Struthio camelus: one gene and its partner. Each later gene encodes a partner of the first gene's protein in a complex. Links are inferred from orthologs where the notes say so. Each region holds a gene or a part of one and is shown on either strand. Other genes may lie near its edges.

Region 1 (3,896 bases):
CCCTACTCCCTTAAAATATGAACACAGTACTCATGGTGAGCATGTGAGGGATTTCTGTAACGGCAGTATCCCTCTCTTCCCATCTTTTAAGAAAAGTGAGTTCAGCCTCCTCCTGACACCCGCTGACCTGTACAGTCCAAGCTGCCTGTAGCAGCAGTGAAGTCTTCCACTTGCCAAGTTGCAGTTAATTTAGTACTCAGCAACACATGCAAGAAGCTCAACATGTTTTTCCAACAACCGCACGAAGGCCACGAGGTTAGAAAAACCTCCCCTTTTGCTCAAGGAGATGTGATGCAATTTAATATTTTCTGATGTATGATTCTATGAAAGGTCAGAGGGGCCAAAGGACACTCGCTGGCTCACTTGCTTGTCAAGGTAGGTTTATCACAAGCACCATACGGCTGATGAGAGCTGTGGGGGGAGCAGCCTATCTCTTTGTATGCTTTTGAAGAGGCAAAGCTTTCTCAGGGCACTTCTGTAACATGACCATAGATGACAAGAGCAATTGTAAGGTTATCTTCCCCCCCGTCTATCGCAAACATGTTGGAGGCTTTGTGCAACTCTTTTGCAACATCTTGAATGTCATACAGTTTAGTGAATTCCTCCAAATTTCCTTGGCGTCTTCTTCATCATGCATTACATGGACCATTGGGTCATCTGCCAGTTTTGCCAGCTCATCTCTTCACCAAGATACCACTGAACAGTTTACCCCCTTGGGAAGGGTCTGTTAGCTACCCTGCGGTATAATGCAGCCTATGTACTCCTCTGCTCTCTCAAATCCTTTCCAAACACACAGAAGCCACTGCCTAGAAACACGAATGCTCTGCCTTATCCTTAAAAAGCCATGTTCCTGAAGCTGCAAATTCCCTAATGTAACAAAGTCACCAAATTGCTGCTCCAAGCGGAAAGGCAAATTATCCAAGGAAGTCAAATGCCTCAAGCCCAGCCAGGAAAGGAGGAGAAACCACAGAAAGGGCAGCCAGACCCTGAGCCCCAGAACTAGGGGCAGGAGAAGCCAGCACACCAGCTTTCTACCTGGTGAAAGGCAAGGCCAGGGGCTTCCTCCCCGCAGGTGGCCAACCTCCACCTCCCAGGCAGCCGTACCCAGGACCATCCTGCAGCTCCCCCTGCGCCCCGCACCTCCAGTGCCACGGTTCATAGCCTCACACATCCCCACACCACATCCCCCTGCCCGAAAGTGTCACTCTCCACTCCAGGCCAGCCCCCCCTGCACTGCCCCCCTGCAATCCCAGCCCATGCTGTAGGCTAGCCTTCCAAAATCCTGATCAGCCTCACAGATCGCACAACTCTGCATTCACCTCAGCTCTGAACAGCCCTGCATCTGCCCAAAATCCGTGCCCACCTTACTCCTAGAGCTCCCTACTCTTGCTGCTGCCCCACATCTACCCCACAGTCCCTAATCCCTTGCATCCCCTGTCAACACTCATCTCACAGCTGTTTCCCACCCCCAAATTCAGGCCCCCACCCTATTCTTTGACTGGCATCCATCCTGCAGCACTGCCCTGTAGCCCACAGCCCCCGCTGCTCTCTACTGCCATATCCCACGGCACTTTCTTTGCCCAGCACCCCACGGCTCCCTGTATCCCATTCCCCACAGCAGCATCCTGTCCCCACGCCCTGCTCTACCCCATGACCATCCCAATGCCAGATCCTACCCCACAGTCCTGCACCTGTATTTTGCTCTGCTCCATGGCCACGTCCAAAAGCCAGTGTCCTGCCCCGTGGCTACATCCCATGCCCTGCCCTATCCTCCCTGCAGCTCCATGTTCACTTGGCTATGCCGAAACATCCGTTCCCTGTCCCCAAAACGGCCCTGTCCCACCCCACAGCCTTAGGCGCACGCCTCCGTTCCCTGCCCCACAGCTCCATAGGTATGCCACATGATCTGCCCGACTGCCCTGTGCCCTGCCCCAGAGCCACGCTCCATATCCTGTCCCACCACCATGCCCATAACCCTACACCTTGCCCACAGCCTCATGCTTTGCCCCACAACTCACAGCCATGACCTTTCCTGCCCAGCCTCACACCTCCATGCTCTACCCCATATCTCATCAAATAACTATAACTGTGCTCTGCCCCACACACTGCGCCGTATCTTCATACTCTGTCCCATGCTCTACCCCACAGCCCCATGGCCCCACAGCCCACCCCACAGCCCCATGCCCACGGCCACACCCTGCCCCACCGCACAGCCTGCCCCACAGCTCCATGGCCATGCCACTGCCTTGCCCCACAGCCCACCCCACTGCCCCATGGCCACAGCCATGCCCTGCCCCACAGCCTGCCCCACAGCTCCATGGCCATGCCTCTGCCCCTGCCCTGCCCCACAGCCCCATGCCCACGGCCATGCCCTGCCCCACAGCTCCATGGCCATGCCACTGCCCTGCCCCACAGCCCGCCCCACAGCCCCATGGCCATGGCCACGGCCAGGCCCTGCCCCACAGCCTGCCCCACAGCTCCATGGCCATGCCTCTGCCCCTGCCCCTGCCCCACAGCCCCATGCCCACGGCCATGCCCTGCCCCACAGCTCCATGGCCATGCCACTGCCCTGCCCCACAGCCCGCCCCACAGCCCCATGGCCATGGCCACGGCCAGGCCCTGCCCCACAGCCTGTCCCACAGCTCCATGGCCATTCCTCTGCCCCTGCCCTGCCCCACAGCCCCATGCCCACGGCCATGCCCTGCCTCACAGGTCCATGGCCCTGCCATTGCCCTGCCCCACAGCCTGCCCCCCCCAGCTCCATGGCCATGCCTCTGCCGCTGCCCTGCCTCACAGCCCGCCCCACAGCCCCATGAGATACCCGGCCCCACTGCCGTGCCCGGCCCCACCACACCCCCGCCCCACACCCCAGGCCCGGCCCCATCCCACCCTACACGCCCCGCCCCGCCCCGCCCTGCCCCGCTCCGCCGCCCGGTACCTGCCGCCACCTCAGCGGCGCGCGCGTCCTGCTGCCCGGCCACGAAGTCCTGGACGAAGGCGGCGAGCAACCCGGCCCCGGCCCCGGCCCCGGCCCCGGCCCCGGCCGCCGCCATGACACTCCGCGCTGAGGACAGCGAGCCGCCGGCGCGCCCGGCCGCGCGCATGCGCCGCGCCGCGGCCGCCCCCCGCCCTCGCGCGCGTGGGGGAGGGGCCTATAACGCATGCGCGCGGCTGGAGCTCGCCCCCCCCCCCCACCCCGGAGGGCGAACCGTGGGGCCCCAAGGGGGGGGGCCGGCCCCCCTACCCCCACGTACGGCGCGTCGGATGGGACAAAAGCGTCGTGCGAGTGGGCGCGCCCACGTGGGCGGCGCCGCCCGCAAGGTGGTGCCGGTGCCGGTGGCGGTCGGGGGTCCCGGCGCGGGCGGGGCGGGGCGGGGCGGAGCGGGCCGTGCTGGGCCCCAGCTCGGGCCCGGGCGCCGCGGGGGCGGTCACATGCACACCTGGGGAGGGCGGAGCGCGGGGTGTCTCCGGCGGCGGGGCGGCCCCGGCGCTCAGAGCCCGGCGGCGCGGCTGCACGGCGCCGGGCCCCGCGGTCGGGCGCAGCGCGGAGCCGGCCCGGCCCGGCCCCATGCCGAGCGCCCCGCGCCGCCGCCGCCCGCGCCGCCGCCGCCGCCCCTGAGCCCGGCCATGGGCGGCTGCGTGGGGCGGCAGCGCCGGGAGCGGCCCGCCGCCGGCAACCCCCGCAAGCGAGCAGGTGAGCGGGGCCGGCCGTGCGCCCCGGCGGCGCGGGCACCGGGGGGGGGCACCCCCGCGTGGTCCGCGGGCACCGGTTTGGGGTCTAATTTTGTGCGCTCTTGGGGGTGTCCGTGGGCACCGGCGGGGGTCCGGTCCGTGGGCACCCGGGAGTGCCTCGTCCGTGCCTCCCCCCCCCCGCCCCGGGGGACCCGGTGCGGTGC
Region 2 (3,896 bases), on another chromosome or scaffold:
CACCCCCGAGAGCAACAGGCACGACGTCTGTGCCGGCGAGGGTCGTGCTAGTGTCAAGGAAACAGCGCGCGCACTGAAAGGAAGAGCCACAGTCTTCTACCAGGCCAGCACAGGTTTATTGAGCTTGGGGCAGGAGTACAGGGCGTGCATGTCTGCACAGGGAGGCAGGACATGACAGCCTGCACCATCTCCCAAAGCCTCTGAAGAGTTGCGCTATCGCGTGCGTCATCAGGGAGGCCGGTGCCACTGGGTGGGACCCCACGGCCTTGCAGGCTTGGAGTCACCCACGAGACTCAACAAAAAATTCACCGTCTGCCGCGTTCATTCAGAGCGGTTTGGTGAGGGGACAGAAGTCCAATTTCCGGAGCAGCGCAGGGCGAGGAGGTTGGTTATCGTCTCCTGTCCCGCTCTCTGCGCCGAGGAGGGTGTTCGCGTCGGCTCGAGAGCCGAAACGCGCCTGCTGCTGGGTCGGGGCCGCGGCGGTACCTGGGACAAGCAGTGGTGCCTCAGGGCAGGGGGTTGAGCGGCTCAGCAAACTTCGGGCCGCTGGTACTTCCAGAAGGCGATCTCCCCGTCGTCGCTGCAGGAGGCCAGCAAGCCCGGCTCCTTGGGGTTCCAGGCCACGCAGTTGACGTCCTGCGAGTGCGCCCGGGGCACGTGAGCGGCGAGGCTGAAAGTGGGCTGCTGCGAGGCCGTGGGCGAGCTCTCCTCGAACACCCGGATGGCGTCGTCGCCGCAAGCCGTCGCCAACGCTCCGGTCAGGTGGCACCTAGAGCAGAGGCAGTGCAACGGGTCACCGAAAGCCATCGGGAGAGGGAAGAGCACCCTTGACCCAGCCCCGCAAAGGAGAACCGGCGCAGCAGCAGCCCACTCACCATGCCACGTCGTAGATGGTCCTTGTGTGGAAGCCCGAGAGGTTGCAAATACACTTCCAGGTGGGGTCAGCACCGCTGCAGGCCACCCCTGGGAGGCAAGAGAGAATAACCTAAAATCCGCTGTCAGGTGGGAAGGGGCAAATTGCAGCGGTGAGCAACCCTGCCAGGTGCTGTGGGCACCGCAGGGTCTCCAGTATAAGCAAGCTCATGAAATGCAAGTTGACATCAACGTAAACGCTTGGACCGTGTGCCAAATCCATTAACGGCACCAGTCTTTCACCTCCAGCCGCCTCTGTCATGCTGCATAAAGGGAAAACGGTTCCCCAGGCAGGGAACCGTTTTCCGCTGCAGGTTAGAACCAGCTCAGCTGTCACCACCTCGCCGCGGCGAGCGCGAGACGGGGCGAGAGCAGCTCTCGGCGCGCTCACCTTCCTCGTTGCCCGGCTTGTACTGGCGCCAGATGCGCACCGTCTTGTCGTCGCTGCAGGAAGCCAGGCGCTCGCCGCTCCGGTCGAAAGCCACGCTCCACACGGTGGATTCGTGGCCCTCCAGCGTGGCGCAGCACACCCAGTCGTCCTCCTCTTCGTGGTAGAGCTTCACCGTGTCGTCGTAGCTGGCCGAGGCCAACAGCTGAGGGAGGGCAGAGAAAAGAAAGAAATACGGATGCTGCACGGAAAGGCTCAGCGCGAGGCCCTCTTTCTCCCTGGGAGAGCCCGGCTTTCGCGGGCAGGGCGTTGGCGTCCCTCCAGGCCGGAAAGGCTCAGAGACGGGGCCGCTTCGTCCCTGCTTCATCTTTTTCTCCCAAGCTTGGCGCAGCTGGTCAGAAACAGCCACCCCGCGGGCGCGTTCGCAGCGAGTTTCTGGGATTTCCTCAGCCCCGGAAAAGCAACAGATGGTGGAGGGGGAAAAGCTCTTACCTCCTGGTTTGGGTGCCACACCACGTGCTTGACGTCCTGCGTGTGGGAGTTGAGGACGCTCACGCACTCGTACTCCTCCTCTTCGTCCACTGCACGGAGAAAGCTCGCTGTAAAGCGAAGGAGCGAGGCGCCGGGCCGGGCCGCGAGGCGGAGGGAGAGCGTGGGCCTTGCCTCTCACCTTCCCACACCCACACGCTCTTGTCGCGGCTGCACGTGGCCAGGAGGTTACCGGAGGGCGCCCAGGCCACCGACTTCACCTCGTTCTCGTGTCCCTCCAAGGTGGTGACGCACTGCCCGAGGAAGAGGGGAGAGTGAGCGGCGGCCGGCCCGGCGGCCCCCTGCCCGCCCGCCCGCCCGCGCCGCCCTCACCTCGAAGCCGTCCGGCTGCTTCTTCCAGATGCAGGTGGTGGCGTCGAAGCTGGCCGAGGCCAGGTAGGTGCCGCAGGGCGACCAGGCCACCTTGCGCACCGTGCGCTGGTGCCCGTCGCCCAGCACGGCGCGGCAGGCCCAGCCGGGCCCTGCGGGCACCGGGCGCCCGCTAGCTTCCCCCTCCGGCCTGGGGTCCCCCCGGCCCCGCCCCCTCTGGCATGCCCCTCCCTCCCGGCCCTTCTCGCCCCGCCCCCTCCCTCCCAGCCCCTCTAGCCCCGCCCCCTCCCTCGCAGCCCCTCCCAGCCCTCTCTAGCCCCGCCCCCTCCTTGCAGCCCTCTCTAGCCCCGCCCCCTCCTTGCAGCCCCTCTAGCCCCGCCCCCTCCTTGCAGCCCCCTCTAGACCCGCCCCCTCCCTCGCAACCCCTCACAGCCCGCTCTAGCCCCGCCCCCTCCTCGCAGCCCTTCTAGCCACACCCCCTCACAGCCCCTCCTTTCCAGTCCCTCTAGCCCCGCCCCTTCCTCTCAGCCCCCCTTACAGTCCCTCTACCCCACCCTCACATTCCCTCTAGCCCCGCCCCTTCATCACAGCCCCTCCCTCTAGCCCCGCCCCGCCCCTCCCGCCCGGCGCCGCCGCCCACCTTCCCTGCCCCAGAGGCGGACGACGCGGTCGCCGCCGCAGGAGGCCAGCAAGGAGCCGCCGGGGCTCCAGGCCAGGTACCAGCAGCGGGAGTCGGGGTGGGCCGGCCGGCGGCACAGCAGCGACAGCGCCTCCTTCATGGCGCCGCCGCTCCCGCTCCCGGCGCCGCGCGGTGACGTCAGGCGCGGGCGGAAGCGGAAGCGACGGCGGCCGGCGAGGGGCAGCGGGGGGGAGGCGGCGGCGGCGGGGAGCGGCGCCATGTACACCCCCGGCGGGCCGGGGCTGCCCGGCGGGCGGCGGCGGCGGGGCGCGGCGGGCGGCGGCCTGCCCAAGCAGCCCGAGCGGAGCCTGGCCTCGGCGCTGCCCGGCGCCCTCTCCATCACGGCGCTGTGCACGGCGCTGGCCGAGCCCGCCTGGCTCCGCATCCACGGCGGCACCTGCGCCCGCCAGGAGCTCGGCGTCGCCGACGTCCTGGGCTACGTCGACCCCGAGCTGCTGCGAGGTGAGGCCGCAGCCAGGAGCCCCGGCCCTGCCTTTTGGGGTGACCCCCCCCAATTCTGGGCCTTGGCCCCTCGACCCCCCCCCCCTTAAATTCCCTTCTCAGCGGCCTCGGCCGCCCCGCTTCGCCCCGACGCGGCCCGCTCCGCTGGGCGGCGGCGTCCGGAGGAGACGGGGGCCGCGCGGCGGTTTCTCCGCGCTGTCGCCCCTCCGTCTGCCTCGTCCGTCCGTCGCGCCTCGGCCTCTCTGTTCCACCCTTCCCGGGCCGGCGGCTCCGCGCGGCGTTTCGGGAGCGGTCCGTTTTCACAGAGGGCGTCGAGGGAGCTCCCGGCCTCGTGGCTTGGGAGCCGTGAATCGCCAAGCGGGCCGCGTCGCGCCGAAGCTTTTAGCTTTTTCCGACTTCTCGAGCGGGCCTGCGGGGTCTTTTTCTCTCGCGGTGAGCTTAATAGTTGGTTTGGCAGCTCTAGGGAAGACCTAGGCTGTAATTTCCTGCTGTTGAAGCCACTCAGCGAGGCAGATAGACCAGTCGGGACTTCCGGGTGCCACCAAGGTGTGAGTTTCTGCAACCTGTGACGCCAAGCGCCTCTTTTTAATAACAACT

The links.
Region 2: MMS19 (region 1) and CIAO1 share a complex: the UniProt entries of both Homo sapiens proteins name them as parts of the MMXD complex. The link is inferred for Struthio camelus from reciprocal best matches to the Homo sapiens genes MMS19 and CIAO1.

Annotation. Positions count from the first base shown.
Region 1 is NC_090948.1:17,004,025-17,007,920, forward strand, and holds the start of MMS19 (MMS19 nucleotide excision repair protein homolog), read right to left. Parts: upstream 3,087-3,896; 5' UTR 3,054-3,086; coding exon 2,939-3,053; intron 1-2,938. Other genes in the region: UBTD1 (ubiquitin domain-containing protein 1), read left to right, coding at 3,162-3,321. UniProt on the Homo sapiens protein: Key component of the cytosolic iron-sulfur protein assembly (CIA) complex, a multiprotein complex that mediates the incorporation of iron-sulfur cluster into apoproteins specifically involved in DNA metabolism and genomic integrity.
Region 2 is NC_090968.1:1,352,694-1,356,589, forward strand, and holds CIAO1 (probable cytosolic iron-sulfur protein assembly protein CIAO1), read right to left. Parts: upstream 3,000-3,896; 5' UTR 2,938-2,999; coding exon 2,799-2,937; intron 2,311-2,798; coding exon 2,162-2,310; intron 2,083-2,161; coding exon 1,971-2,082; intron 1,882-1,970; coding exon 1,793-1,881; intron 1,506-1,792; coding exon 1,304-1,505; intron 964-1,303; coding exon 876-963; intron 770-875; coding exon 529-769; 3' UTR 95-528; downstream 1-94. Other genes in the region: TMEM127 (transmembrane protein 127), read left to right, coding at 3,056-3,299. UniProt on the Homo sapiens protein: Key component of the cytosolic iron-sulfur protein assembly (CIA) complex, a multiprotein complex that mediates the incorporation of iron-sulfur cluster into extramitochondrial Fe/S proteins.